7 linked regions of the Mus musculus genome follow. The protein of the gene in region 1 purifies or fractionates together with the protein of each later gene. This does not show direct contact. Links are inferred from orthologs where the notes say so. Each region holds a gene or a part of one and is shown in the gene's direction. Other genes may lie near its edges.

What was found.
Region 2: the proteins of Rbx1 (region 1) and Eef1a1 purify together in Homo sapiens (affinity purification with western blotting; 3 studies listed by BioGRID, with this or other methods). This does not show direct contact. The link is inferred for Mus musculus from reciprocal best matches to the Homo sapiens genes RBX1 and EEF1A1.
Region 3: the proteins of Rbx1 (region 1) and Fbh1 purify together in Homo sapiens (affinity purification with mass spectrometry; 3 studies listed by BioGRID and IntAct, with this or other methods). This does not show direct contact. The link is inferred for Mus musculus from reciprocal best matches to the Homo sapiens genes RBX1 and FBH1.
Region 4: the proteins of Rbx1 (region 1) and Fbxo21 purify together in Homo sapiens (affinity purification with mass spectrometry; 3 studies listed by BioGRID and IntAct, with this or other methods). This does not show direct contact. The link is inferred for Mus musculus from reciprocal best matches to the Homo sapiens genes RBX1 and FBXO21.
Region 5: the proteins of Rbx1 (region 1) and Btrc purify together in Homo sapiens (affinity purification with western blotting; 5 studies listed by BioGRID and IntAct, with this or other methods). This does not show direct contact. The link is inferred for Mus musculus from reciprocal best matches to the Homo sapiens genes RBX1 and BTRC.
Region 6: the proteins of Rbx1 (region 1) and Cops7a purify together in Homo sapiens (affinity purification with mass spectrometry; 3 studies listed by BioGRID and IntAct, with this or other methods). This does not show direct contact. The link is inferred for Mus musculus from reciprocal best matches to the Homo sapiens genes RBX1 and COPS7A.
Region 7: the proteins of Rbx1 (region 1) and Fbxw8 purify together in Homo sapiens (affinity purification with western blotting; 6 studies listed by BioGRID and IntAct, with this or other methods). This does not show direct contact. The link is inferred for Mus musculus from reciprocal best matches to the Homo sapiens genes RBX1 and FBXW8.

What each region holds. Positions count from the first base shown.
Region 1 is NC_000081.6:81,464,966-81,469,115, forward strand, and holds the start of Rbx1 (E3 ubiquitin-protein ligase RBX1), read left to right. Parts: upstream 1-1,350; 5' UTR 1,351-1,407; coding exon 1,408-1,485; intron 1,486-3,189; coding exon 3,190-3,268; intron 3,269-4,150. UniProt on the Homo sapiens protein: E3 ubiquitin ligase component of multiple cullin-RING-based E3 ubiquitin-protein ligase (CRLs) complexes which mediate the ubiquitination and subsequent proteasomal degradation of target proteins, including proteins involved in cell cycle progression, signal transduction, transcription and transcription-coupled nucleotide excision repair.
Region 2 is NC_000075.6:78,478,925-78,482,989, reverse strand, and holds the start of Eef1a1 (elongation factor 1-alpha 1), read left to right. Parts: upstream 1-1,265; 5' UTR 1,266-1,351; intron 1,352-2,301; 5' UTR 2,302-2,335; coding exon 2,336-2,479; intron 2,480-2,569; coding exon 2,570-2,749; intron 2,750-2,841; coding exon 2,842-3,138; intron 3,139-3,215; coding exon 3,216-3,366; intron 3,367-3,455; coding exon 3,456-3,712; intron 3,713-3,797; coding exon 3,798-4,032; intron 4,033-4,065. UniProt on the Homo sapiens protein: Translation elongation factor that catalyzes the GTP-dependent binding of aminoacyl-tRNA (aa-tRNA) to the A-site of ribosomes during the elongation phase of protein synthesis.
Region 3 is NC_000068.7:11,774,786-11,779,009, reverse strand, and holds the start of Fbh1 (F-box DNA helicase 1), read left to right. Parts: upstream 1-1,424; 5' UTR 1,425-1,577; coding exon 1,578-1,578; exon of another isoform or gene 1,579-1,941; intron 1,942-4,224. Other genes in the region: Ankrd16 (ankyrin repeat domain-containing protein 16), read right to left, coding at 108-421. UniProt on the Homo sapiens protein: 3'-5' DNA helicase and substrate-recognition component of the SCF(FBH1) E3 ubiquitin ligase complex that plays a key role in response to stalled/damaged replication forks.
Region 4 is NC_000071.6:117,975,383-117,979,569, forward strand, and holds the start of Fbxo21 (F-box only protein 21), read left to right. Parts: upstream 1-1,387; 5' UTR 1,388-1,418; coding exon 1,419-1,657; intron 1,658-2,475; coding exon 2,476-2,611; intron 2,612-4,187. UniProt on the Homo sapiens protein: Substrate-recognition component of the SCF (SKP1-CUL1-F-box protein)-type E3 ubiquitin ligase complex.
Region 5 is NC_000085.6:45,513,734-45,517,233, forward strand, and holds part of Btrc (F-box/WD repeat-containing protein 1A), read left to right. Parts: intron 1-274; coding exon 275-393; intron 394-2,124; coding exon 2,125-2,374; intron 2,375-3,281; coding exon 3,282-3,400; intron 3,401-3,500. UniProt on the Homo sapiens protein: Substrate recognition component of a SCF (SKP1-CUL1-F-box protein) E3 ubiquitin-protein ligase complex which mediates the ubiquitination and subsequent proteasomal degradation of target proteins. Recognizes and binds to phosphorylated target proteins.
Region 6 is NC_000072.6:124,962,713-124,966,786, reverse strand, and holds the start of Cops7a (COP9 signalosome complex subunit 7a), read left to right. Parts: upstream 1-1,274; 5' UTR 1,275-1,385; exon of another isoform or gene 1,386-1,502; intron 1,503-1,520; exon of another isoform or gene 1,521-1,635; intron 1,636-1,858; 5' UTR 1,859-1,901; coding exon 1,902-2,063; intron 2,064-2,399; exon of another isoform or gene 2,400-2,504; intron 2,505-4,074.
Region 7 is NC_000071.6:118,092,959-118,096,458, reverse strand, and holds part of Fbxw8 (F-box/WD repeat-containing protein 8), read left to right. Parts: intron 1-729; coding exon 730-926; intron 927-3,500. UniProt on the Homo sapiens protein: Substrate-recognition component of the Cul7-RING(FBXW8) ubiquitin ligase complex, which mediates the ubiquitination and subsequent proteasomal degradation of target proteins.

The sequences.
Region 1 (4,150 bases):
TAAATATGTCCTCAGTATCTTAATTAACTATGGGTTTCTAGCATCCCTTAGGGGGTCTGTAGACACATAGACCAATGACAGATTTAGTGTGGGAGGTAGAACTTGGGCAGACACACACACACCTTGCAGGGCTCTCACAAGTCTCTGTGCAAGTTAAAACTGTGGTGGTATTCAGGATGTATTGCCCTGCTTAGCAAGTGCATCAATGACACACCGCATTACACACCAGCAAGTATTTCTTTTAACAGAACATTTCAGGACAGGCAGTGGTGGCGCATGCCTTTAATCCCAGCACTTGGGAAGCAGAAGCAGGCAGATTTCTGAGTTCGAAGCCGGCCTAGGTCCAGTCCTGAGTTCCAGGACAGCCAGGGCTACACAGAGAAAAACCCTTTCTGGGGGGGGGGAGGGGCACATTTCCGGTAAAACCCTTTTTGTTGTACTGTTGAGGGAACTAGAACACACAGGAAATTCAAGGGTGATGTATTCTAGTCATAACTCCGCAAATTTAGGAGACAAAACAGCGGAGGGCTGGACTAATCATGGAAGCTTACAAAACGTATGTGTTCTGTAGCTCGATGGTAATGACCGGTAAGAAAATCAGAATGCCTCACCAGAACTCAAGTTCAGCCACTACAAATGTACTAATTTAATCGTAGCACAGTAGCAAAACTCGATAGGAAATGAGGAGAAAGGAGGACCATTTAGAACTGGCTGGTTATGGGATTTACTATGGCATCCCCATCACCTTTCCTGTGAGAAGATAAAGGCAAAGTTGCAGAATGCCTGCTCTGTTTGCTCCTGGGCCTCTTCTCTCCCTATCAAATAATTTCCCAATCTGAAATTGATAACGCAGACGGTGACCAGGCCTTGGTAAGCCGGGCCACAGGCCTCCAGAGAGACACCGCCTGGCTCCGAAGCCGACCACGGTCAGCAGAAGGCCGGTTTGGAGTTTCGGGTTTCCAAAGACCAGCCCATGCCCTTTGCAACCACGGACTCGGGGGCAGCTCTGTGGATCTGGACCAGGGCTTAAGTCCTGGGGCAGAAGAAGGAAGCAGCCGCCGCCCCAAATGAAGGAGTCAGACCACAGGGCTTCCCAGAATGCGAGAAGCATCGAGACCTCACGGACGTTCCCACCGGTTGGCTCCCTTCTCTCGGCCCCGCCCGGCCCCGCCCGGCCCCGCCTCAATCACTCCAGCCTCCTCCCCAGCTGAGAGAGATGGGGAGGAGGGGGGCGGGAAACCTCCGCCTGCGCCTTTAAGGGGCGTGACCGCAGGCTCCGCCCCTTCTCCACGCTCGCGCCAATGAGGGGAGGGGTGCGGGAGGAGGCGCCTGGTGTGCGGGGCAGGCGGCGGAAAGTGAGCCGGTGCGCAGGCGCAGTGGTCACACGACAGACTGTGTGTTTCCAAAATGGCGGCGGCGATGGATGTGGATACCCCCAGCGGCACCAACAGCGGCGCGGGCAAGAAGCGCTTTGAAGTTAAAAAGGTTGGGCTCGCCAGCGCCTTCCTCAAGGAAGCTAGGGAGGCGCGGATATGGCTGGCAGGCCCGAGGAAGAGCTAGGCGCGGGGGAAAGGGCTTCATTTCAGGGCGTTCCTGGGACCGGGCACCAAGAACGGAAGCCGGGGGGCGGGCCTAGGGTTGATCGGCATGCTGGTGGCCCAGTGTCTGGGGCCCTATTAGTCTTGCTGGGGAAGCTGTGGGGCCAATCGCAGAGCTGCTTACTGAAATACGCGAGGTTGACTTCGATGCGGGAGCCAAGCGCTTGAGCTGTCACTGAAGTGACTGAGAGGTGGGGGAAGGACAGGGTGGGGTGGGTGGGATGCAGACTCGTGAAGAGACTGCGGCGGGTGGAGGATGGGGCCGTGCGGAGAACCCCGGGAACGTGAGATGACAGCGCAGAGGGGCTCTGCCGGTGTTCTTGCTCCGCCCCTTCCTGGATCCTAGAATCTATTGACTCCGAGGGACCTGGCGTGGGCCCTCGATTGTATGGCGGCCTCCATTGGCCTCTAAACCCACAGTCAAGTGTAAAGCTTGGTTCTAACGAGATGGCTACTAGTTGTCACATAGCATCTGCCACTCCAGTGGTTCTCTGATGTCCCTGTACACTTCTAACACAAAATGATAATTTAAAAGCCTGGTGGGCTTTGTTTTAAAAGCAAGCCCAGAACTTGTGCCATTTAAGAAGGTGGAGTACTAATTGCTAATGACCTGAGAACAGAAAAACAAAAATATGAAACGTCCTTTTGTATGCCGTTCCCCTTCATAGTTTGCTAGTCCTTTAAAAGTGTTGATTCCTACCTAAGATTACACAGATCTGTTAAAAATGAAGATCTTGAAGAGGGCAAGGTGTTTTCTTTTTATGGATTATTTTTGGAACGTGTCGCTGAGAATATCCCTCACCCCACCCCCTTTTTGTGTCATCTCATTGTGGCCACTGCTGCTCAGTTACAGCCTGCAGCCATTATGAAAAATAAAAATGTAATGTAGAATTTACTAAACTCTTATGCTTGAATTTGGAAAGTCAAACCAAAGTAGTCCTTGAAAAGGGTGCCTTGTCTAACATAAGAAGTCTTAGGTCGACTTACTGGAGCTAACAAAGTAATTGTTTGGATATATGAACGTTGAGAACATCAGTTTACTTGGTAAGAGGAAAAGAAAATCGCAGTGGATTCTACTTTGCTTGCAGTGCTCTTTTAAGGTTTAAGTGATGACCTCGTTCTGTGTACTGAAACTGGGTAGGTAACTTGCTATCCAGCTTATCCTGTGATTATCCACTTAGTGGTCCATTTATTATCTTAGTTCAGTCTGTTCACTTCCTTGCCTCTGAGTCCAAAACTTTGTGGAGAGCCCGTGCTTATGCAGATTTTGAGTTCTTCCACAGCTGTCAGGGAAAGCTGTACAGAAAATAGTACTAATATTCTCACGTTGGTTTGGCTAGCTAAATTATTTTACATTATATATAAAAAATTGAAGATACCCATGTTCATATACTTCATCTTTCAAGGAATGGGGAAGTGTACAGGTGGTCTGCTGTTGTCCTCTGATATAGTCCAAATAGTATAATCCAAAAACATCCTTTCTTTGGTAGGCCCTGTGGCTGGGGCGTTGGTAACTGAAGCTGCAAGCTGAAGTCCTAATGAGCTGTTAGATTACAAGGAAAATGCATTGTTTCCCCTCTTCTCCTTGCAGTGGAATGCAGTGGCCCTCTGGGCCTGGGACATTGTGGTTGATAACTGTGCCATCTGCAGGAACCACATTATGGATCTTTGTAAGTAACTCGGGGCAGATGGGAAGAAGTTGAGAAGGTTACAGAAATGGTGGTCATCCTGGTGTGCCCAATTGTCTTCTTTACCAGTGAATACAAAGCAGGCTCAGAACCCTTAGGCACTTGTGTATCTCATCCATTGGTGTGTTTGAAGTAGATTGTTTTGTGGTTGTTTGTGGAGACAGAGTTTTTTGTGTAGCCCTAGCTCTACTAGAACTCACTTTGTAGTAGACCAGGCTGGCCTTGAACTAGAGATCCACCTGCCTCTGCCTCCTGAATTAAATTGTTTCTTTTCTTTTCTTTTTTTTTTTTTTTTTTTTTTTTTTTGTGGGGTTTTTTTTTTTTTTTTGTGGGTTTTTTTTTTTTCTTTCTTTCTTTTTTTTCCCCCCAGACAGGGTTTCTCTGTGTAGCCCTGGCTGTCCTGGAACTCACTTTGTAGACCAGGCTGGCCTTGGACTCAGAAATCCACCTGCCTCTGCTTCCCAAGCGCTGGGATTAGAGGCGTGCACCACCACCGGTTAAGTTGTTTCTTAAAACAATGTCTTGGAGGCGTACCTTGCTCTCAGAATGAATTATTCATTGTAAATCAGGCAAGATCCCATTTAAAATGGGGTGTAGATAGAGTTGCCTTTTATTTCCTTCTTAGACAGCCATAAAGGCAAAAATAGTGGAAGAAAATGACCTTTGAAGGTAGATATAGTGGTATATGCCTGGAATCCCAGCATTTGAAAGGCAGTGGCAGGAGTATTGTTACAAATTACAGGCCCATCAGGGCTAAGATTTGAACTACAGTACTCTTACCTAAGCTAGTTTTTGTTGAACAAGATTACAATCACAGATTGGAGAGATGGTTCAGGAGTTAAGAACATTGGCTGCCCTTCCAGA
Region 2 (4,065 bases), on another chromosome or scaffold:
TTGTACACCTGGGAGAGGAGATCCAATGATGGATAATCAGATAGGATATCTTTGAGCTAGGAACTGTAACTTGGTGATAGACACCCTAGGGTTCCATCTCCAGCACCCCATATCCCATTACAAAATAATTCTTTTTCCATCTCTAGCATTAAAAAACAAAACAAAGAAGTTCTTCTTTCCTCTGAGAAACACTTCTGTGTGCCTGCTCTGAGAGGCATTTAAAAATGGCCAGGGCTTTAATCCCAGCAGGTCCAGGTCGGATTCCTGTGAATTTGAAGTCAGCCTGGTCTACTACCTATTCCAGGGCAGCCAGGGCTAAAAAAGAGAGACCTTGTCTCAATAACAAAACAATGCTGGTATGATCGCTAGAATTGCAGCAAAGAAAGGGATGTAACTAACAAGGCAAGCCATTTTTGAGAAGCAGTGATTTCACAAGTGTTAGGGATGGGCGCTGGGAGATTGCTGATGCTGGTATTTAGATGAGACCATGTGGGGTGGATTAGATTATTTTCAGGTTTCTCATGTTCAATCAAATGGCTGTACATACACATGTACACATACAATCTTTTTAGTGTAACAAACCTAGAATCAAAGTAAAGCTAACTGTAGGATTGAAGCATATTCTGAACTGAACCCTTAGGGGTGTGAAGGCCGCTTCAGGTTTCCAGAGAATCAACCGGCATTGGATGGAATAAACCAAGGGGCCAGCCCAGGGGCAGATCGGTCGAGCTCTCCGCTACTGAGCTAAGCCCTTGGGTTCTAGAGCCGGGAAGGGTCCCCAACATTGTGTTCCTCTCCCAGCCAGGAGAGCATGGGCTGCGGGAGGCGAACAGAAGGATAGCGGGGCTGACGTCGGGAGGTGGCCTCCGTGGGAAGGGACACCCGGATCTTGACACAGCCTTGGCAGCGGAGTAAGGAAGAGTAGGGATAGATTCTGGCCGCCCTCTTGGCCAGCTTCTCGCCGCCCCACCCTCCGCTAGGGCCAAGAGTAATTCATACAAAAGGAGGGATCGCCTTCGCCTGGGGAAGTCCCAGGGACCGTCGCTAAATTCTCATAACCCATAATCCCGGTACCCGCCCCACCACAGTGCGAGGAGCATGCGCTCAGGGCTGAGCGCGGGGAGAGCAGAGCACACAAGCTCATAGACCCTGGTCGTGGGGGGAGGGGCGCACTGAGCGGGGGGGGGGGGGGTGATGGGGGGGAGGACCGGGGAGCTGGCGCGGGGCAAACTGGGAAAGCGGTGTCGTGTGCTGGCTCCGCCCTCTTCCCGAGGGTGGGGGAGAACGGTATATAAGTGCGGCAGTCGCCTTGGACGTTCTTTTTCGCAACGGGTTTGCCGTCAGAACGCAGGTGAGGGGCGGGTGTGGCTTCCGCGGGCCGCCGAGCTGGAGGTCCTGCTCCGAGCGGGCCGGGCCCCGCTGTCGTCGGCGGGGATTAGCTGCGAGCATTCCCGCTTCGAGTTGCGGGCGGCGCGGGAGGCAGAGTGCGAGGCCTAGCGGCAACCCCGTAGCCTCGCCTCGTGTCCGGCTTGAGGCCTAGCGTGGTGTCCGCGCCGCCGCCGCGTGCTACTCCGGCCGCACTCTGGTCTTTTTTTTTTTGTTGTTGTTGTTGCCCTGCTGCCTTCGATTGCCGTTCAGCAATAGGGGCTAACAAAGGGAGGGTGCGGGGCTTGCTCGCCCGGAGCCCGGAGAGGTCATGGTTGGGGAGGAATGGAGGGACAGGAGTGGCGGCTGGGGCCCGCCCGCCTTCGGAGCACATGTCCGACGCCACCTGGATGGGGCGAGGCCTGGGGTTTTTCCCGAAGCAACCAGGCTGGGGTTAGCGTGCCGAGGCCATGTGGCCCCAGCACCCGGCACGATCTGGCTTGGCGGCGCCGCGTTGCCCTGCCTCCCTAACTAGGGTGAGGCCATCCCGTCCGGCACCAGTTGCGTGCGTGGAAAGATGGCCGCTCCCGGGCCCTGTTGCAAGGAGCTCAAAATGGAGGACGCGGCAGCCCGGTGGAGCGGGCGGGTGAGTCACCCACACAAAGGAAGAGGGCCTGGTCCCTCACCGGCTGCTGCTTCCTGTGACCCCGTGGTCCTATCGGCCGCAATAGTCACCTCGGGCTTTTGAGCACGGCTAGTCGCGGCGGGGGGAGGGGATGTAATGGCGTTGGAGTTTGTTCACATTTGGTGGGTGGAGACTAGTCAGGCCAGCCTGGCGCTGGAAGTCATTTTTGGAATTTGTCCCCTTGAGTTTTGAGCGGAGCTAATTCTCGGGCTTCTTAGCGGTTCAAAGGTATCTTTTAAACCCTTTTTTAGGTGTTGTGAAAACCACCGCTAATTCAAAGCAAAAATGGGAAAGGAAAAGACTCACATCAACATCGTCGTAATCGGACACGTAGATTCCGGCAAGTCCACCACAACCGGCCACCTGATCTACAAATGTGGTGGAATCGACAAGCGAACCATCGAAAAGTTTGAGAAGGAGGCTGCTGAGGCAAGTATAAGGCAAAAGGAGGGATGGGAATTCTTTAAGCAGGGAGTAGAACCTAGGTCTTGGGTGTACTAATTAGAAGTCACTTTGCAGATGGGAAAGGGCTCCTTCAAGTACGCCTGGGTCTTAGACAAACTGAAAGCTGAGCGTGAGCGTGGTATCACTATTGACATCTCCCTGTGGAAATTCGAGACCAGCAAATACTATGTGACCATCATTGATGCCCCAGGACACAGAGACTTCATCAAAAACATGATTACAGGCACATCCCAGGTGTGTAAAATTTACCCATTCCTGACTCAGGATATTTTTTAGTGGGGTGCTTTCTCTGAGATAATGGTATATGATTGTCTTGTTTCTTACAGGCTGACTGTGCTGTCCTGATTGTTGCTGCTGGTGTTGGTGAATTTGAAGCTGGTATCTCCAAGAACGGGCAGACCCGCGAGCATGCTCTTCTGGCTTACACCCTGGGTGTGAAACAGCTGATTGTTGGTGTCAACAAAATGGATTCCACCGAGCCACCATACAGTCAGAAGAGATACGAGGAAATCGTTAAGGAAGTCAGCACCTACATTAAGAAAATTGGCTACAACCCTGACACAGTAGCATTTGTGCCAATTTCTGGTTGGAATGGTGACAACATGCTGGAGCCAAGTGCTAATGTAAGTGACTTTTAAGGTAGTTGAATGGAGAAAGCCGCAATAAGTAAGGAGGTTATAATTGACTGCCTGTGTTTTAGATGCCTTGGTTCAAGGGATGGAAAGTCACCCGCAAAGATGGCAGTGCCAGTGGCACCACGCTGCTGGAAGCTTTGGATTGTATCCTACCACCAACTCGTCCAACTGACAAGCCCCTGCGACTGCCCCTCCAGGATGTCTATAAAATTGGAGGTAAGTAGAATATTAAGTAGAATGTTGACGTGAATTTGAAGTCTTATGTTTTGTGTATTAAATACTTATACAAAACAATACTATTTTAGGCATTGGCACTGTCCCTGTGGGCCGAGTGGAGACTGGTGTTCTCAAGCCTGGCATGGTGGTTACCTTTGCTCCAGTCAATGTAACAACTGAAGTCAAGTCTGTTGAAATGCACCATGAAGCTTTGAGTGAAGCTCTTCCTGGGGACAATGTGGGCTTCAATGTAAAGAACGTGTCGGTCAAAGATGTTAGACGAGGCAATGTTGCTGGTGACAGCAAAAACGACCCACCAATGGAAGCAGCTGGCTTCACTGCTCAGGTGACACATTTTTAAGATAGGTGGCTAGATTGGTTGTGTGTGCAGAATCACAAGGCAAGACTTAAATACACGCTGTTTTTCTTAGGTGATTATCCTGAACCATCCAGGCCAAATCAGTGCTGGCTACGCTCCTGTTCTGGATTGTCACACAGCCCACATAGCATGCAAGTTTGCTGAGCTTAAAGAAAAGATCGATCGTCGTTCTGGTAAGAAGCTGGAAGATGGCCCCAAGTTCCTGAAGTCTGGCGATGCTGCCATTGTTGATATGGTCCCTGGCAAGCCCATGTGTGTTGAGAGCTTCTCTGACTACCCTCCACTTGGTAAGCCTGATCTGAGTCTGCTACACTGAACAT
Region 3 (4,224 bases), on another chromosome or scaffold:
CTGAGAAAAGTTATAAATCTAACGAACACACTGAAAAATACATGAAAATCTGCGATTCTTCAGGGAGTGTCGATATAGCTTTTCTGGACCGTGGGTTGGGCACCTACCAGTCCGCCTTCTTCAAGGAGTCCACGACTGCACCTCGGCCCAGGAGGTAGCGCACGCAGTCCCGGTGGCCCATAGAGGCAGCTTCGTGCAGAGGCCGCTTGTAGTCTCGGTTGGTAGCCTCGATGTCCATACTCCAAGCCTCCACTAGGTACGCTAGGATATCCTGGCGTCCGTGGCGTGCTGCACAGTGGAGAAGGGTGTCTCCGGCTGGCCCCCGGCAACCTCTAGCTACCGCCAGTTCCTCCTGAAGGTCACGCAGTCGGCCCTCTTGCACCAGCCTGCAGAGGCGCCGCGGATCCCCAGGCAGAGCCATCGCCCTGGACCAGGATGGACAAAAGTAGGAGGAAGACCCAGGTTCAGTCTTAGAGCAGATCTGTGCTATGATAGGTTGGGAGGTGAGAGAAGGCTGGCGCTTCCGCTTCCGCTTCCTCCACGTGACCCTTTTCCCCGACTCTCGGCACCGCCCCCTGCCCGCCCCCAGCCAGATTCTCTCCGCTAGCGTCTTTAATGCTTCTTGCCCTGGTTTGGAAGTCACAGTCTCCAAATGTAGAATGGTGTCCCCTCAGGCGACAACATGCACACTCGTAGGTCATTCTGGTTACCGCGCATCACACACGCGTACTCGTCAGGGTGGGGCCTCGGGCTCCCAGGGCTTGGGGTAAGGCTGTGTGCACCTGACATCCTGGAGCTGTCCCTTGCACCCGAGTGAACTGGGAACGGAAGACCTATCAGAATGGAGGGTGCCAGTGTACCGCGAAGTCCTGCACGCGGGACTTCTGGCCTCGCATCCCAGATGTGGTCTGCTCTCCACCGGACAGCTTCTGGGAATGTTTGCTGGGCTGCTCCGGTGGTAGCTGCACAGGCAGTCGAGAGCACGCTGCCCACCACCCTGGAACCTAGCTGGCCCACCCCTGGCCTGAGGATGTCTGCCGGACTGACAGCCGCATCCTTCGGCTGACCAGGCTCACAACAGCAAGGGTTTCTGGGGCCTCTCAGAGCTGGAACGGTGTCCTTGTGCTCCGCCCGATCCTCACCCAATCCGCAGCCGACCCCAGCCCCCTCCCCGCCCGCTGCTGTCTCCTGGGCCCCCGCGGGGACCCAGGGAGCTCTAAGGAACTCTGGGAAAGTTTCCTTCGCCTCCTCCGCGGTGGCGAAAGCACAGACGGGGCGTGGCTCTCAAGACACTGAGCCACGCCCCCTCCCGCTTCGCGTACGGATTGGTTCCAGAGTCTGTCCGTCCGCGTGACCCTTCCAGTTCGGAGTGCTTCGATTGGTTCACGGGCCTGTCCGTCGTCTCCGGTGGGAGGGTGCGTCTTGGCAGCGAAGAGGCGGAGCTCGCGGAGGAAGTCTGCAGTCGTCTGTGCTCGCTGTCTGGGCCGAAGGAGGGGCTTGCTGGTCGGGGAAAGGCTGAATGTCCGGCGGCATCGCCTGGGTGGTGTCGCCGCCGGGGTCCTGGGCCGGGCCGCCATAGTGCGTGAGACCGTGGACTTGGCGTGGGGTGCGAGCCGGGAAAACTTCCTATTGTGGGGTCTCCCGCGCAGGGGTCTTGGCCTCGGGGGTGGGGCCCTAGCTGAGGGTGGGCGTAGGAGCTGGCCGCGCCCGCGGTGGTCAGGAGTGGGCCTGCAGAAGGAGGTCGGATGCTCTCTGCAGACCCGCATCCCTTGGCCGCTCCCTGAGGCTCCGGAAGGGGCAGCACCTGAGAAGACAGATCCTCTGCCGCTGGCAAGCCTGGCTTGTCTCCACTGTAATGTTTTTGACCTTGGGCGAGTCATTGTATGCAGCTCCTGACGTTGGTGTTCGCCTTGGTAGTCTCCCACCCCCTCACCTGAACAGGTGATGGTGGTTAAGGGGACGCGAGAAGGCCTGGGGGGCTTTTGGAGGGTTCTTTGAGACCCGAGCCCGCTTTGTTGGCTTCCTTTCGAGGAACTAGACATTTAACCTAATGGTGTTTCCGTTTGGGAAGTAAAATGGAAGTCGCTCCTGCCAGGTTTAAAACAATTTCTTTGCATTTGGCAGTACATTCTGGTTCACTAAGCGCCTGACATTGTCTATTCCATAAACAGCCCATAGGTAGCATTCAGGTTTTAGAGACGAGGAAGGACGTCAAGGCCAAATGAAGTTAGTGATTTTTGCCACGTATTGGAAAGTTGAGGCATCTGATAGTTTCAAACTTTTTGCTACTTTGCATGGTTTTAAATCTCAACGTTTGGGAGACTGAAGCAAGAGGACCTTGAGTTCGAGGTTCGAGGCTAGTCTGGGCTGCCTACTCCTTCCTTACAAATGATTTCACGTGGTCTTGCCTTATCTCTCTTAAGTTTCTGGTCCTTTAAACAAAACCGAGAATCCTGGTTTATAAAAAGATGAAATTGGTTATTTAATTGGTATTCTAAATTAGATTCTGCCTCTCCTCTGCTCTATGAATTTCCTTTGCTCTGTGTTTTCCTTTGGGAAACTAGATATTTTTGGTGAATCTGCCTCCATAGCCCTGGTGATTTTTCTGGAGAGCGGTGGGTATTTATGCTTTAAGTTTATGAGTAGGGCTAGTACTTCTCTCTCTGTCTGGTTGAGCTGCCCATTTCTTCAGTGAAGGTCTTTGGAGGCCTTCAATTCCCTTGTAACTAACTGTCAATGGAATTGGGATATTCGATCTGACTTTTGCTGTGTTTCATGGATCTTTGGTACTTAGATGTCGTTGAGGGATCAAGGGATCAGTCCTTTAACATGTTTCCTGGTTTATGAATACATAAAAGTATTTGAATTCTAATTTCAAATGTGTTACTGTCGCATACACACACACACACACACACACACACGCCCATCTTATATTTCTCTGTTCCCCCAGGCTGACTTTAGTTTAGAAAAATTTAGATTTTTTCTTTGCTGTTCTGGTTTTGACAAAACTTGTAGAAATTATCACCAAAGCCAGCTCTTACATTGTCAATAGTTATTCGCATGCTCTTTGAAGACTTTTGATGTTTCATAGAACTCGAGGGAGCTTTAACTGGGTGTTCTACAGAACCTCTTAAAATAATCTGGACATGATGGCACACAGTTGATCAGCCTAGCATTTAGTTGGCCTAAGACCCTACTTCAGCAAAACAAAGCAGACCAACCACCAATCAAAACAACAACCAAACCACAAGAAGAAACCCTGAAAATTATTTTTAAAATGGAAACTTTAGGCCTTTCAGTGTATGAAAAATTATTAGAGCAGCCATTTCTTCCTTTGCTTTTTAACATAGCTAAAATCAGCTCCCTTAATGTTACACAAGCAGAGTCAGTTGTCCTCCATTTTCCTCTTGGTCTTCACACCTTGTTGATACTCACCTGTCCTTGCTACCCAACTTCTGTTCTCCGGCCTTCTCCAACTCTTGCCCAGCTGGTACCATGACTTTCTGACTTATTTTGCTGACAATCTCCATGCCTAGCTACCCTTGGCTGTGTAATGGCCTTGCTTTTAAAAACAGCACGTTACTCTGAATTGCCTATGCAATGAGTAAAGGACAGTGTCTTTAGCAGTATGTAAGAGGACCGTTGTAGTCTCTGGATCCAAATTCATTTTCCAGCCTGTCAGTTAGCGTTTTGTTCTGAAGAAAGGAAACGTTTCTGTCACACATTGTGCCATTCCTTTGTTTTTCATTCATATTGTTTTCTTGTGCCTAACTGAATCCCATTCATCACTTAAGGCCCATCCCTTTATGGAGATTCTTGTAACAGTCCTAATTATATTTACTACCGTAGGCCCTTATGTGTATATTTATGTAGTGCTTGGATTGCTGTGTGTTTAGCAATTTGTGTTTGTTTTGGTAGCTGCCTTATGGTCAGGCTTACTTATTTTTGTATGCTCTCCAATGTCTAAAATAGCATTAGCAACAGGGATACCATAAGGAAAGCCCTCATGGAGTTCATAGTAAATCTGGGAAATGGAGAAAAATGAAGAGGTTGAGGAATGAGTGAATAAATAATAGAAAATGGTTATCAGATATATGAAGATATATTGTGGACAGTAAGTAGTGATTTCTCGTTTGTTTGTTTGTTTGTTTTCTGTCATTCTGTCTGAGGAACACAGAATGAGCCGTTCAGCCCATCTTTTCTTGCAGTAATAAATGGGGGCTG
Region 4 (4,187 bases), on another chromosome or scaffold:
GGACAGCCAGAGCATATGGTAATTGTTGTATTGCCAGAGAGGGCATATATGTCCCCCAAATCATGAAGGATTGTTGAGTGGAAGACAATTAAAAGCAGACACCATGAACACCTCTAAAATCACACTCAGCATTTTGGGAGGCAGAGTCAAAGGGATCAGCGGCTTGAAGGAGCCCAGTCACACAGAGGAGAGCTCCCCACGATACTTCGACCTGCTTCAAATCAGGACATAGATTCAGGGGTTACTACTATTCTCCACACCATCATAGAGCTAGAAATAGGGGTCCCCAAAAACAAATAGTATGCTTGCCTCAGTACCCAGTGGAGAGTGAGTCACCCGTGGAGAAGGCCAAATCACTTCCAGGAAGTGCTTGGTATAAGATAGCCATTTTCAACAGCTTAATTTTGGGACTATGGCATGGCTGTAAAGTGCATGGCTAACCGGCACCAAGCCCTGGGTTTCACCCCCGCACTACCACCTCTGAAGTACATCTTGGTGGTGTATGCCTTTAATACAAGCTATGGGAGGTAAAGGCAGGGGGGCCAGAAACTCAAGGTCCTTCTCCAATACATAATTCAAGACCAGAGTGGACTACATCAGACTCTGTCTCAAATTGCTTTTGAGATCGGATCTTAATATAGATAGCCCAACTTTTGATCTGCGTGCCTCGGTCTCCTGAGAGCTGGGAATTAGGAAGTAAGCCACCATAGTCATTTTTAACTTTTAGTTATTGTCTATGTGGACTCATGTCCCATCGAGAAGGTGAAGGCCAAAGGGCAATTTTGTTTTGTTTTGTTTTGTTTTTCGAGACAGGGTTTCTCTGTGTAGCCCTGGCTGTCCTGAAACTCACTCTGTAGACCAGGCTGGCCTCGAACTTGGAAACCCACCTGCTTCTGCCTCCCAAGTGCTGGGATTAAAGGCGTGCGCCACCACTGCCCGGGCAACCTCGATATATTTATTTTCGAGACAGGGTTTCTCTGTGTATCTCTGGCTGTCATGGAACTCGCTCTATAGCTGAGGCTAGCCTCGAACTCTGAGATCTGCCTACTTCCACCTCCTAAATGCGGAGATCAAAGGTGCCACCGCCTCCCCGAATTTGCGTGTCATCCTAGGCGCAGCATCCATGCAAATCTCTGCATCGTTCCAGTTTTAGTATCTGCGCTGCCGAAGACGAGCACCCAGCTATCATTTTTAAAAATGCCCCTGGGAGAATCAGGACGCGAAAGGACCATTTATCTCTGCAGCAGCAGCCAGCTCTCGCCTCTGGCTCTTCCCAGTCCTCCAAGCGGAGTGGGCGGGACCCCCTGGCGTGGGCGGGGCGTTCCCAGCCACTCCCCCTGAGGGCGTGGTACGGCTTCTTAGGCTCCTATCGCGCGCGCGCCCGCCCGCACAGCGGCCCCCTCAGGTACGCGGACAAGATGGCGTCGGTAGCGGGGGACAGCGCTATGGAGGTGGTGCCGGCGCTGGCCGAGGAGGCCGCGGCTGAGGCGACGGGCCCCAGCTGCCTGGTGCAGCTGCCGGGCGAGGTGCTGGAGTACATCCTGTGCAGCGGCTCGCTCACGGCGCTGGACATCGGCCGCGTGTCCAGCACCTGCCGCCGCCTGCGCGAGGTGTGCCAGAGCAGCGGGCAGGTGTGGAAGGAGCAGTTCCGGGTGAGGTGAGCGAGCATCCCGTTCCCGGGACCCGCAGAGCCCCTCGGCGCCGGGCCTCGCGTGGGGCCCCACCCCGCCACCCTCCGGGCCTCCGGGCCGCGCGCCGCCCTCTTCCCGCGGCCGCAGACAAAGGCCTGCCTGCAGCCCGGGGGGCCCCCTCCGGAGCTCCGATGGGGTCGCGGCAGCCGCCCGAGGCCGGGGCCTCCGGAGCGCTCCGCCCCGGGGGGCTGCGGCCTTCACGCGCCTCCCGGCTGCAGGAGGAGGCGCATCTTTTGTGGCCGCTGCAGGATGTTGACGTGCAGGCAAAGCAGCGGTGCGTGCATTCCTGGCTAGCTCCTTAGGATGCCGGCATCGGACCTGCCAGTCCAGCTCGTGACCTTGGGGGTGGAGGGGGTGATGTCGGTCCACCTCCCTTCTCCAGAGCCTGGGTCTCCTGGTCGGTGATGAGACCCCCCCTCCTTTTTTTTTTTTTCCCATTATGGGGAATCAAATAAGATGAGGCCCGGGTTTGCAGGGCCTGATGCTGAGGGAGGCGCGCCATCCACGAGAACCGTTAGCATCACTGTGATTGTGGCCAGCGCAGAGATTGGGGGGCGGAGGGGGGGCGGCGGCTACTGGTGGTAGAAACGCTGCCTTTCGTGTCGCCACGCCAAGGTCACTGCATCTGAGTAGTGAGGGAATGCATTGCATACGCTATGATTATTGCAACTAGAGCCTCTGCCAAGTCCACCCCCCCCCCCTTGCCCGCAGACTCCTCCGTGGTTTTTTGCAGTCTCTGCGGAGCTGAGAAAGGGTGTTTTCTCTCCCCCCCCCCCCCTTATAGGTGGCCCTCCCTGATGAAGCACTACAGCCCCACCGACTACGTCAATTGGTTAGAGGAATATAAAGTTCGGCAGAAAGCTGGGTTAGAAGCCCGGAAGATTGTAGCTTCCTTCTCCAAGCGGTTCTTTTCAGAGCACGTAAGCATCAGGCTTGGTCATGCTCTGTGTGTGTGTGTGTGTGTGTGTGTGTGTGTGTGTATGTGTGTTCGTGCGCGCACGCGCTCGTTCGTGTGTGCCTGCCATAGCTTTTCAGCTCTTGTTCCTATTTCCCTTTTCACTGCTCACACAGCCCTTTGCTTGCATGCTTATAAGAGTCATTGTGTCCCCTCTCCTCCCGTCCAACAACACGGAGCCATTTGTCCCTGCTAGCCCTACTTTTTTTAAAGCCAGAGGGAGTGGGGTGTTGAGGAGCGGAAAGGGACACAGGGCGGTGTCCACTAGGTCCAGAGAAGCCTTACTCTTTGAGACTGTTAGGCGCTTTATGCACTGTCAACCTCTTGGTGCCTGTTTCCCAGGGAGGCTGCAGAAGTGCATGCCGTGCAGGGAACTGCCTTTTTAAGGAACCAAGGTTAAAAGCTGCCGTAGCTGCTCCTAGCCATTGAGCATTTCTGTTTATCACTGTGGCTCTTTGTTCCGAGAGAGGAGGTTCACTATGCGGCCCAGGCTGGCCTTGAACTCCCGTCCAGCCTCCTGAGGACTGCGATTCCCAGGAGGCAGCCTCAAGCCTGGCTCGAGTCGTGTGTCGCTTTTCTGTAAGGGCTGAGATGTGTGTTTCTTTTCAGGTTCGGAGTTAGTCGTTGTTTTTCTCCCTTGTCCAGAAATGTCCCATGGAAATCGGTGTCCGTTCCATTCACTACTTTTTGTAGGGCTAGGGAATTGTCCCCTCTCGTATTTCCAGTCCCTGCAGATTGTGAGCCGACCAGTGTAGCTGACAGTGCTTGTTTAGTTCTTCTAGGTTGGTGAAGGTTATTTTCTGAAGGTTAGTTCTGATTTCCCACTCTGCTGTTAAAGGAGTTTATGAGCAGCGTTTTCAAGGCGTTTCAAGTTTTGAAAGAGCAGATCTGAACTTTGAACACATTTTTAACTCAGTCCCCAATGGGAACTACAAATAGACACCCCCCAATTTGTTTATAGAAATGCTTGTTAACGGCAGAATGAACCAAGGTTTGGTTCAGTCTGGAACAGTGCCCCTGCCAGTCAGTAACTACAAGTGTTCAGTCCTGGCTTAAATGTGCGCACACACAGGTGTTTTGATGCGGGGCATGTGGGATACAGTTAGTCACAAGCCACTGGTTCACAGGCTCTCCCTGGGATCCACCTGTGGTTGTGTGTGCTTTTCTCTAATAATGATGGATCGGTGAACTCTACTCCCCCCCCTTCCCTGTGTCACTGCTTACTTAATTAGAACGTGTGGTGGACTTTGAACGCAGCAGGGGCACAGTTAGAGGTGGATGCATAGATGGGTGATCAATTTGGCTCAGCACACTGGTTTTCTTGTTTTCTCCATGTGCACACAAATCAACCTGAAACACTGGCTGCTTTCAAAAGGGAAACTGGGAAAAATCCCAGGATGTTAACCCAAGAGTCTTAATGGACCACCACTTCTACACACATACCATCCACTTAACACACATCTATCTCCTTAGCAGGCTCGGAAACTCGGACTGTGTGAGTGTGAGGCTGTAGCCACGGGTGCCAGGTCTGAATGTGCCGT
Region 5 (3,500 bases), on another chromosome or scaffold:
GACTCCCTTCTAGAAGTGTGCTGATGGGAGCTGTTGTTATTTGGGCCTTCGTAATTATAGGCTACTCTTCCACCTTGATGAAAAAGGATAAAGTTAGCATTAGAACTGAAGTCAACACATCCAGGAGCTTAGCTCTACCTGTAGGAAAGAATGCAGTCCTCGCCCTCTCTGGGCTTTGATGTTGGGGCAGGGGGGGTCACACATGTACAGGACAACAAGTCTCCACAGCACCCTATTATGACAGTGATCAAAAGGGTCTCGTTTGCCCTCCTAGATCTGGGATAAAAGCACACTGGAATGCAAGCGGATTCTCACGGGCCACACGGGCTCCGTCCTGTGTCTGCAGTACGATGAGAGGGTGATCATCACAGGCTCCTCAGACTCCACCGTCAGGTAGGGACTCTCTGCTGCTCCTTTGAACGCTAAGCCTCCACTTTGTGTCACGGTGATTCTTTTCTGAAACCAAAGAATAAGCTGTTAGCTTCTGGTCAGTTACTTGTCGCTCTGGAACCAACACTTGATGTGGGACCCATTGGGTAGAATCTACTTTGGCACATTTAAGAAGCTACACACAGATTTTAATTTGGAGGTACACCTGTAGAGGAACTTCCCTCTCTTTATGGGAAGCCTTACATTCCTTATGAAGCTAGCTCAGGGGAATGGCAGGAAGGGACTGAAGCCTGTCTTTCAGGTGATTGTAACTGCAGTGCAGGTATGCAGGCGCTCTTTCAAGTGGATACAGGTGAGCAAGACTCGCTCCTTGCCAGCCCTCCCCTGCCATCCCCACAGTGTTTAATTGCAAGCTTTACTCAAGGAGGGAGCCCTCAATTTCCAGAGGCTCTGGTGATTTGATGACACAGCCATTATGCTGCTGGAGTCCAGTGTAGCTTGAGTTCAGGGTACCAGCAGCACTGCTGGAAACCTGCTAGGAATTTCACCTTAAGCTAAAGGATTTAGCCAAAGTAATACATCAAAAGTAACGTTTAAAAAAACAAGCGTAGACTAAACGGCAGTTGTCTGCATTGTCAGTTCTCTGCGAACAGCAAAGCCTGTTCCTCTCACTTGCAGGCACAGCAGAGCCCACCCTGGCAGGTGTTGGCAGTCGACTCTTCTCCTGGCTTGGAGGCCACAGGAGCTGCAGCACTGTAGAGGCTTAGGTCGTTTATAGAATAGGGGAGATGATGTCTGTTGTTGTCTTGGCAGTTTAGGGATTGAACCCAAATCGTCTAAATAGCCTTCTACCTCTTAGCAACACTACAGCACAAAAAAATAACTTTCCAAAAGGAGGGTAAGCTGCAAAGGAGAAACAAAGTGCTTTTAAACATAAAGTCAATATGCAAATAGAGAGTAATGTAGGTAATTCTATCTCGGCAGAGTTCTCCAGCTCGCCAAGGGTCTCCACTGCCATGAAGCATGGGCTTAGGGTGAGAAGGAAGGCTCATCTTGACCAACTTGCCCCTGAAAAGCACAAAACTGGAGCCTTTAACTTAGAGTCTGTGTAGGAAGAAAAGCTAATGTTTAGGACAGTGAAAGTCAAGTCCGCATTGCTAAGTCTGTGTGAAACATCTTGGCCCAGAGTGCAGTGACTGGGACAGATACTACTGCTGTTCTTCATGAGATTCCTAGCTTATATGTGTCTTTTTTATTGAATGTCAGTGTTAAAATAATAACCCAAAAATTTGGGCCAAATTATAAGGTGACAGTGACTACCTATGTCCTCCTCTCTGGGCACTATACAAGAAGCACCCACTAAACCTGCCTTTCCTGTCTGTACACATGAACCATGGTGTTTCCTCATGGTTCCTGTGTACCCTGCCTGGGGCATGCAGAACAAGAGCACTTGCCATGAAAGCAGGAGGTGAGCCAAGCATGATGGTGCACACCCTTAGTCCCAGCACTGGAAGGCAGGGGCAGGCGGATCTCTGTGAATTCAAGGACATCCTGGTCTACAGAGTGAGTTCCAGGACAGCCAGGACTACACAGAAACCCCCGTCTCCAAAAGAAAAAGAAAGCAGGGGTGACATGCATTGATTGATTGATTGATTGATTGATTATCCCATTGGTGGTCAAGAATAGGCCGTGCGTTGTACTAAGTACCATCTGATTCCTGGGTGTCCTTTTCAGAGTGTGGGATGTAAATGCAGGTGAGATGCTAAACACATTGATTCACCACTGTGAAGCCGTTCTGCACCTGCGCTTCAATAATGGCATGATGGTGACCTGTTCCAAAGACCGTTCCATCGCTGTGTGGGATATGGCTTCCCCAACTGACATCACCCTCAGGAGGGTGCTGGTGGGACACCGAGCTGCGGTCAATGTTGTAGACTTTGATGACAAGTACATCGTTTCTGCCTCTGGAGATAGAACCATAAAGGTAACAGGTCACTTTTCAGTAAGTTCACAAGCTGCAGTAGGAGTTTGTGTAAAAGCGTGATTGAGGGCAACTGTATACACAAGCCTTGTTGTAGGATACTGTAATAATTAAATTCAATTTTTATTTCTATAAACAATGGTTATGGGCTGGAGGTGTAGCTTAATGACGGCACTTACCTGGTGTGCCCAAGAGCCAGATTGGAAAGATAACAGTGCCACTGATGATGGCAGTGATGGCATGCATGGCGAAAGCCAAGCCAAAGTTAAGTTCAAGGACACATCCGTACTGGAGCTGGGGAAACGGCCAGTGTGAACAGGCCTTGCCGCATATGCGTGAGAACCGCCATGGGAAAGCCAGATGTGTCACCATGAGGTAGTGATCTCATTGCTCAGAAGGGAGCGATGCCAAACCCTGTGGTCGCTGGCCAGTCGTTCTAGCCAGATAGTAAGTTTTGTATTCAAAGTCCCTGTCTAGGAGAATGAGGTAGAGGGGTTGTCAAGGACGCCAAGGTCCTGAGTTGAGTTGTTAGCATGACGATAGTGGCCCAAACCATCTGGACCTCTAGCTCCAGAGGCCCCAATTTCCGGCCTCTGGATTCTGGCTCACATGTGGTACACACAAACTCAAGCAGTTACATATACACATAAAAAATAAGGTGGAAGGAACTAAGGCGGACACTAAGTATGCAGACTCAGGAAAGGAGGCTAATTCATAGAGCAAATCATTGGGCAGTCTCATGTGACAGCAGCCGGCTTCCCATTCGTCCTGTGTCACTCTGGCTCTTGCTTTCCATTGCTGTTTCTTTGAGGCATTGGCCTCCTCTGATGAGTCTCTTCTATCGCCCGCTTCCTGTTTTTACTAGTAGAAGTACCCGATCTACTGCTCAGCTGTCGCTTTTGTGTCTCAGGTGTGGAACACAAGTACCTGTGAATTCGTAAGGACCCTAAATGGGCACAAGCGTGGCATCGCCTGTTTGCAGTACAGAGACAGGCTGGTGGTGAGCGGCTCCTCTGACAACACCATCAGGTGAGCAGCTGCCTTCCCAGAGCACATCCCCACCACCTCCTCCACCCTTTGTGCACAGAGCTCATGGTTCTTACCTGTCTCCTTTCCGTAGCTAGGACAG
Region 6 (4,074 bases), on another chromosome or scaffold:
TTTCTAACTCTTCTCTCTCTCCCACTCTCAGCCTGGAACTATGCAGCTCACATGGCCTTTGGGCCTAAGATACTCCTGACTTAGCCTCCCAAGTGCTAGACCACAAGCATGCACCACCATCCCTCGAAGGAAGCGACGGAATCAGACAGGTATGCACTTGGACCCTATCCATATTTCTTTGTCCTACAGGTTAGTTCCAGAACTCAGCCCTTGAAGGTCCAATTCTCCTGCCTCAGCCTACTGAGTGATAGGATTACAAATCATCTAACAGTAAACCTGGCTTTACCTTAATTTCCTCCTTATATGGTTTCTGTAAGGATTTTTGTTTTGTTTCATTTTGAAACCTGGTCTATTTAGTGGCGGATGATCCAACTCAGAAATCCACCTAATTAAAGGTGTGTACCACCATGATATTTGGGAGATAGGGTCTCTCACACTGTAGCCCGGGATAACCTCCCAACATATAGCAATCCTCCTGCCTCAGCCTCCTGGATGCTGGGATTACAAGTGCCCGGCTGAATCCTTTAACTTTTAAATTTCCTCATCTGCCTTGGTTCCACTCACACTTTTCTCCTTGCTAATTTGGGATCCAAAGACTAAAAAAATGACTCAATATTTATTTGTAGTAACCATGGCCAAAAGTCTGGTCATGCGATCTGAAACTTCTATGGGAAGAAAACCTCAAAAGCCTAACCAATACACTTCCTTTTCCCCCTTAATCACTCGGGGGTTTGTTTTCTTTCTTATTGAGACCGGTTCTCATGTTGCTCAAACTGGCTTGGAATCTGCGATGGAGCTGAGGCTGGTTTTGAACTCCTGATTCTCCCCTACCTCTACCTCCAATACGCCGGGGGGTGGGGTGGGGGCATGTGTTACCACTTCCTGCCCCCTTACCCTTTAAACTTTTCTTCTGCTCTTTAAAAAGAGTGGATAAGTTGTTGGACTATTTATAGCCTCGTTTCTCTCCTTTCTCCCTTATTTTTTCTTTCTGCGAATTCTCGCCTTCCGCTAACGCTCACGTCGCCGCAGGAACTCGGGGCCGCCATCCTGCCTTGTCCTGCAGCTCCCGGGAGGGTCGCTCCCCCGGACCTCCGCAGAGCCGAGGTCCTCTCCGCACCCTGCATTCACCGCTCTCGCACCCATAAAGATGCACGGACAGAGCGGAAGATGGGCGCCGCTCTCGCGCCTCCCGCGGTCCGGAAACGGAAGCAGGCCGGAGCCGCCCGGAACCCGCCTCCCGAGAGCGGAAGTACGGCCGGAAGCTGGCCATAGAAGCGAGCGGCTAGAGCGGCCCTGCGGGGAGGTGGCAGGAAAGGCTTGGGAGCCGCTGCCGGAGGTGACGGAGCGGCCGCCCCGCCCCGTGCGCTGGGAGACGAGGCTTCCAGGTAGCCGTCGGTTGCAGTCGGTCCGGGGGTACGACCTGGCCTTGGGCGCAGACCCCGGCCGGTCCCGGGGCTGCCTCTTTAAGGGAGGGGGTGGAGCCGCGAGTCAGGCGCGAGGAGGTGAGGTCACGTGGGGGCGGCCACGTGCACGACTCGCGTCCCGAAGTGGGGGTTCGTCGTCGTCCGGTAGACACCATGTGCTATCTCTCCCTTCCCTGGTTCATCAGTCTTGGAACTCAATGGGGTGCACGTGGTGGGGCTTGGGACTGGGCCCGGGATGACGGAGCGGGTGGGCGTGGCAGCCAGGATGGGGCTGGCTTGGAGGAGCCCTCGAGTTGCCTTTTAGACCTCAGGACCCCACTTACTCACTGCGGATGTGGCGGGGTCCCTCTTGAGCGTGCAGCTCCCGTCCCTTCGAGCTGACCACCCTCGCAGGGTCCAGGGACCTTTAGTTTCACGTTCCTCTTTCCTTGCAGCTCCAGAAATCTTGAGGCCAGAGCCCCGCACCTCGGCGCAGCCATGAGTGCGGAGGTGAAGGTGACAGGGCAGAACCAAGAGCAGTTTCTGCTCCTTGCCAAGTCGGCTAAGGGGGCGGCACTGGCCACACTCATCCACCAGGTGCTGGAGGCCCCTGGTGTCTACGTGTTTGGGGAACTGCTGGATATGCCTAATGTTAGAGAGGTGTGTTGCTTGCCTGGGTAGTCCCCAAAGAACGTTGGGACCAAAGTTAACTCTTGAGTGCTGGGCTCGTTTTTTGTACCCAGTAACCACTCAGGTGATCGGGGTACCGATAATTAGCTCTCAACATGGAAAAATAAATCAATCAAATAAAGGTCTTCATTATCTTACAGATAAAGGGTCTGTAAACTTAGTGCTCCCTCCCTCTGTACCCACACTTTGAGTCAGGATTTCACTGTGTAGTCCTGGCTGCCCTAAACTAGTAACTATGGTCTAAGGTGGCCTTGAATGTGTGGGAAATCCCTGCCTATGTCTCATGCATAATTTTTTTTGTTATTTAAAAATATGGAACGCTTTACAAATTGGAGTGTCGTCTTTGCTCAGGGGCCATGCTAATCTTCTCGGGATCGTTCCAGTTTTAGTATATGTGTTGCTGAAGCAAGCAGAAATCTTTAATTTTGAAGCAAAAGAACAAGTCATTAAGAATACCACTGATAAACTCCAGCTTGTCCACCAGTATGATATCTTTTTGTGTTGGTTTTTTTTTTTTTTTTTTTTTCAGGACAGGGTTTCTCTATGTACTATAACTGTGTTCTGGAACTCTCTCTGTCGACCAGGCTGGCCTTCAACTCAGAGATCCTCTGCCTCTTCCTCTCGAGTGTTGGGATTAAAGACTTGTGCTACCATGCCTGCCTAGTGATACCTCTTAATAATCCTGTCACTAACATTTGGGAGGTAGAAAGAGTTGGATCTCTGAGTTGTAGGTCAGCCTGGTCTACAGATTGAGTTCCAGGACAGCCAGGGCTACACAGAGAAACCCTATCTTAAAAACAAAATAAGTCAGAAAACCTGGATCAGAAAACCCTCAGTTTTCTCTTTAAAATGGTGGTGAGAATCTAACTGCTGATAGAGTAGTTGCTTAGCACTTGTGAGGCCTTGGCTTCGATTTCGGAACTTGGGATGCTGAGATAGGGGACCACAACTTTTTAGATCAGCGTGGGCAACTTAGACTCCATCTCAAAAAGGAGTGGGGGTCTTTTCAGTGAAAGAGCCCTTGTCTGTAGTTTGCAAGGCTCAGTATAGGTTCAGTTCTCAGAACTGCAATGAGGAAAAACCTAAAAAAGCACACAGTTCCCTTCACGGTTACAGAAGTAACATTGTGGGGAAGTCTAAAGTCCCCTGAAATCAGAAAGAATGAGCATATTGAATTATGCCATGGTACCCCACCCCACCCCCAAAGTGTCACACATTCTGATTCATTTAAGGTAGAAAATGAAGATGCTGTCTTCTGCCCTAAGACGGTAGCAAAGCTATGAACACAGTAATGAGAACCACTCACAGAAATGGCTGCGTCAAGAACTTAGAAAGCATAGAGCAGGTGGATTGCCACTCTCGTGACACCAGCCTGTCACGAGAGCCTGACCGAAGTGTGTGGCTAAACTGAGCCAAGCATTAGAAGACCTTTGGTTGAATCAGGATAGAAAGTTACTTTGACTGCTGTTTTACAAAACACTGGCTTTTGTTGCTGATTTTATCCACAGTAAACTGAAGTATATCGTTAGGATGAAGTAGATGCCAGTGAAAGAGATCAGATAAGTGAATGAAAATATATGTCAGCAAGTCAGCCATTTATCAGTTATTTACTGCGAGGGCTGCAGCTCTGCTGGGTCTAATGCCTTGTTAAAAGACTGTTAAGTGAGAACCTACAGGGATGGTATGCCAGGATAAGTGGGGGTGACAGGAAGGGAGATGCTGTGGATGAAGTAAGCCCTCACTATGAGGACATTGCGAAGCAGTGGCCACACTATACCCTCTGGGGGCCACACAGTTTACGATGTCTGGTGTACGCGTGTGCACCTGTAATAGTCACAACACTGAAAGTTTTAAGCTCTGAGAGTAGGAATTAGCTGCTTAGCGCAGCAAAGGGCCAGAGTAGAGATGAGCAGCTGAGGGACCAGGATAGGTACTGTTGGGATGGATGGGGTAAGATCAGGGCCTTCTTGTCACTTCCTCC
Region 7 (3,500 bases), on another chromosome or scaffold:
TCTGCGTAGCAGTTCCCACTGTGTGATGCTTTAAAACACATGCAGTCCACACTGTGATGCCTTGGAACAGATACAGAGCAGCAGTACTTGGAAGAGGCCGTGTCAAGATGAGACCTTCTGGAGAGGAGACACTAGGTCCTGTTTAATGAGTGGCCCCCGAGATGTTTATTTTCTGTAGCACATCATCTCCCTCTGAGGCAGAATAGAGAGAGTTACCAAAGTATATGCCGGGGGACCATGTCATGGAGCCTTTTGTGACCTGCCTGTCCTCATTTGATCATAGTTCTTAGAGAAGTGCATGCGTGTTTAAGCCCTTCCATGGAAGAGAGCTCTGTGGCTGTTTGCTGCAGCCATGTGGAAGTCTTGCAACACCTAACTGTATGTGCAGGGTGCTACATCAGAGCAAGAATCTGGACTTGGGCACTTTCAGTTAGAGATGCACAGAGACCAAGAGTGACTCGTGCCACTGTTGGCAGTAGGGAGGTCAGAACTAGGGCTAGCTTTATGGGCGAGCCATAGAGGAAATCATGGGAGTCTCCCAAGGCCTGCCCAGTAGTCCTGTGTAAGTACTGCTGATGTCAGACAGAATGCTGACTAGGACAGCAGTGCAGGCTCAGACAAAGAGCCATACACTGTCATCCTCACACAGTAATCCAAAAAGCAACTGTATGATTGCTCTGTGTCTGTGTGTACCAGCTTTACGGTTGTTCTCTGCTTTTCTCCTTCTAGGGATCCTTAACATTTGGGACCTGAGAACCGGAAGGTTCCCTATCTTTCGTTTTGAGCATGACGCAAGAATACAAGCCCTTGCGCTGAGCCAAGAAAAGCCCATTGTTGCCACGGCTTCTGCTTTTGACGTTGTGATGTTGTACCCCAACGAGGAGGGGCATTGGCATGTGGCCTCGGAGTTTGAAGTTCAGAAGCTGGTGAGCGCTTACTGTGCTTATTAGTTTGCATTCAGAGGACCCTGGTCTGACATGGACTAGAGTGACGATGCCCAGGGCTTCTGTTCATGAAGCTTCCAACAGCCCCCTGAGACGGGACTACAATTTCCTTCATGCCCCAAGAAGTCAAGAGCACCTCAGAGTGGTGAATTGACTTTCCTGTTTTTCCAAGCTAAGTTGTGACTCAATCCAATTGCTGGGCTGAGGCTATAGCTTAATAGAACATTCCCTTAGTGGACATGAGACCCTGGGTTCCAGCCCCACTCCTCCTCCTCCTCCTCTACCTCCTCCTCCTCTTCCTCCCCTCCTCCTCTTTTTTCTTCTCTTCTTTTTCTCTTCTTCCTCCTCTCTTTTGTCCTCTTCCACCTTTTCCTTCTCCTTTTTCTCTTCCTTCTCCTCTACTTCCTCCTCCTCTTCCTATTCCTCCTCTCCTTCTTTTACTTTTTGTGTTTGGGTATGTGCTCATGAGAGGTTGGATTCCCTGGAGCAGGAGTTGTAAGTGTTATGAGCTGGTAATCTTAATTCCAGGCATTCGTAAGAAGCAGTAAATGCTCTCAACTGCTGAGCCATCTTTCCACCCCCAGCTTCTAACACAACACAACACAGCAGCACGTGCAAACACTGAGGTGACTTCAGGGCCAGAGTTTGTTCTTACCATGGTCCCAACCTCCTTCCTGCTTACGTGGCAGGCTCACCCTGTGAGCTCCTGCTTCCTTTCTGGCCTAACAGCTAAGTGAACAGCAGTGGTACGCTACAGTCTGCATGGCAGAAAGCATTCATCCTACACAGTTGTCTCACCTAGAGTCAGGAGGAGCCTTTGAGGGGGTCCATGGACGCCAGTGTAGATTGGGAGCTTGGCTCCAGGATGCCACGGGAAGCTGAGCCAGCTTGGGAGACTTCGCACAGGGCTGCCACCAGTCTTGTTCACCAAGCAGACATGGTTTGGTGATATGGCAGTATTCATCTGTCTTTGCCAAATTTGTATTTAATTTGAGCACACATCATTTTGGCATGAGCCAGGGGAGCAGAAGAGCTAGCCTTGAGCAAGGAGGTTTGGGGACTTGGAACCGGTCCCCTCTCTCCCTTTCTCTGTGGGATCTTTAGATTTGAATACCAAGCACCAAACACCTGGGGTCACTGCTTAATCTCCCTAAGCTTGCTGCTTCAGATCAGCTCTGCGGTGCTCAGTGTTCCTCTAACACGACCTGACGCTGTCAGCTGTAGAGAGACTTGGGGTGCAGGGCTTCCATTTGTTCTATGGACCAGCCACACTTTCACAAGCTAAGAACCCCTCATGAGGTGTAAATCCTGCCTTGGCAGTCAGGTGCCATCCTGGGGCTGACTGGGAGCTTTAGAGGTCGTTTACACCTCCAAGTGAATGGCTGCCACTGCCAGTCTGAGTCTCTTGGCCTGCTAGAAACCCAGCTGGAAGATGAAGTTAAATGGGCAGCCAAAGGTGTATTTAAGAAGTGAGTTTCTACAGAAACAGGAGTAGGCAGCCCTGCTGGGGCAGGTCAGCTCTAAGCATTATTTCCAGTCTGGGTGCCGAGTTACCATAGTGTGTACTATGCATCCCTGGATCAGGCACCCCTGGCCCATGGAGTCGACCATCTTTGTTCTCTAGCTGTGCTTCCTGAATAGCTGTGGCAGTGTTCCCGGGTCTACAGTGCTAGCTTGGAGCAGCTGGCCTTTGTGATGGACCCACAGCCCAAGATGTTGGGCTGCTCAGCATGATTGGAGCCCAGGATTAGCAGAGGCACCGGATGATGTTTGCTTGTGCTCAGTTCCCTGGGGCAGCCTGCAGAACTCAGGCCTCTGGCACAGTGTCTGTGCGGTGCTGTCCCTTAAACCATGGATTTTCCTGATTCTGCAGTGGCTCACCTTCAGCATCCACGCTCTCTGTGATCGCAGTGTGATGGGCACTGCTCTGGGGAGAAGTGGATTACTCCTACAGTGTGCTCTGCCCCCATGCAGTCAGGGAAGGTATGACAAGAGCGTGGTTTGTCTGTGCAGCTCTCTGTCCTCAGATGGTCACGTGGCACAGAGGCGGGGGTCACTGTCTGACAGGCAGGCAGGAGAGAGCTAGGAACAGACAGTTTAGCTTTTGTAGAGTTTCATTCTGATGCTCACATGTATTTGACAGATGCCTCTGTTCACTCGGAACTGGGGCAGTTTTACTGTTCAGTGTCTAGTAAAACAAAACAAGGGATAGCTCTAAACACTGCCATGGTCAGGATTTAAAAGACCCAGTAAGACCAAGAGCTGGAAGTTGTCTTTTTGTCTCACAGCCTGACTCCCCTTGAGGGGGGAGCCCACTGGGATTCCTGCTTCCCAGCCCCAGTCCCTCCCACAGTGATCCCATTTGGACCATAAGGAAGACTTCAGCTTTTGTCCTGTGGTTGGTGGTGTGGCTGTGTTATGTCTGCACATTGACAGGAGTGGCTCTCAGTGAGCACCATGCACAAGCCTTTGCCATGCAGGTTCTGTAGCCCTGATAGAAGGACCTCCTGGGTCACAGTGAGCTCACACCAATGGTAAGTGCTGCCATCCTTCCCT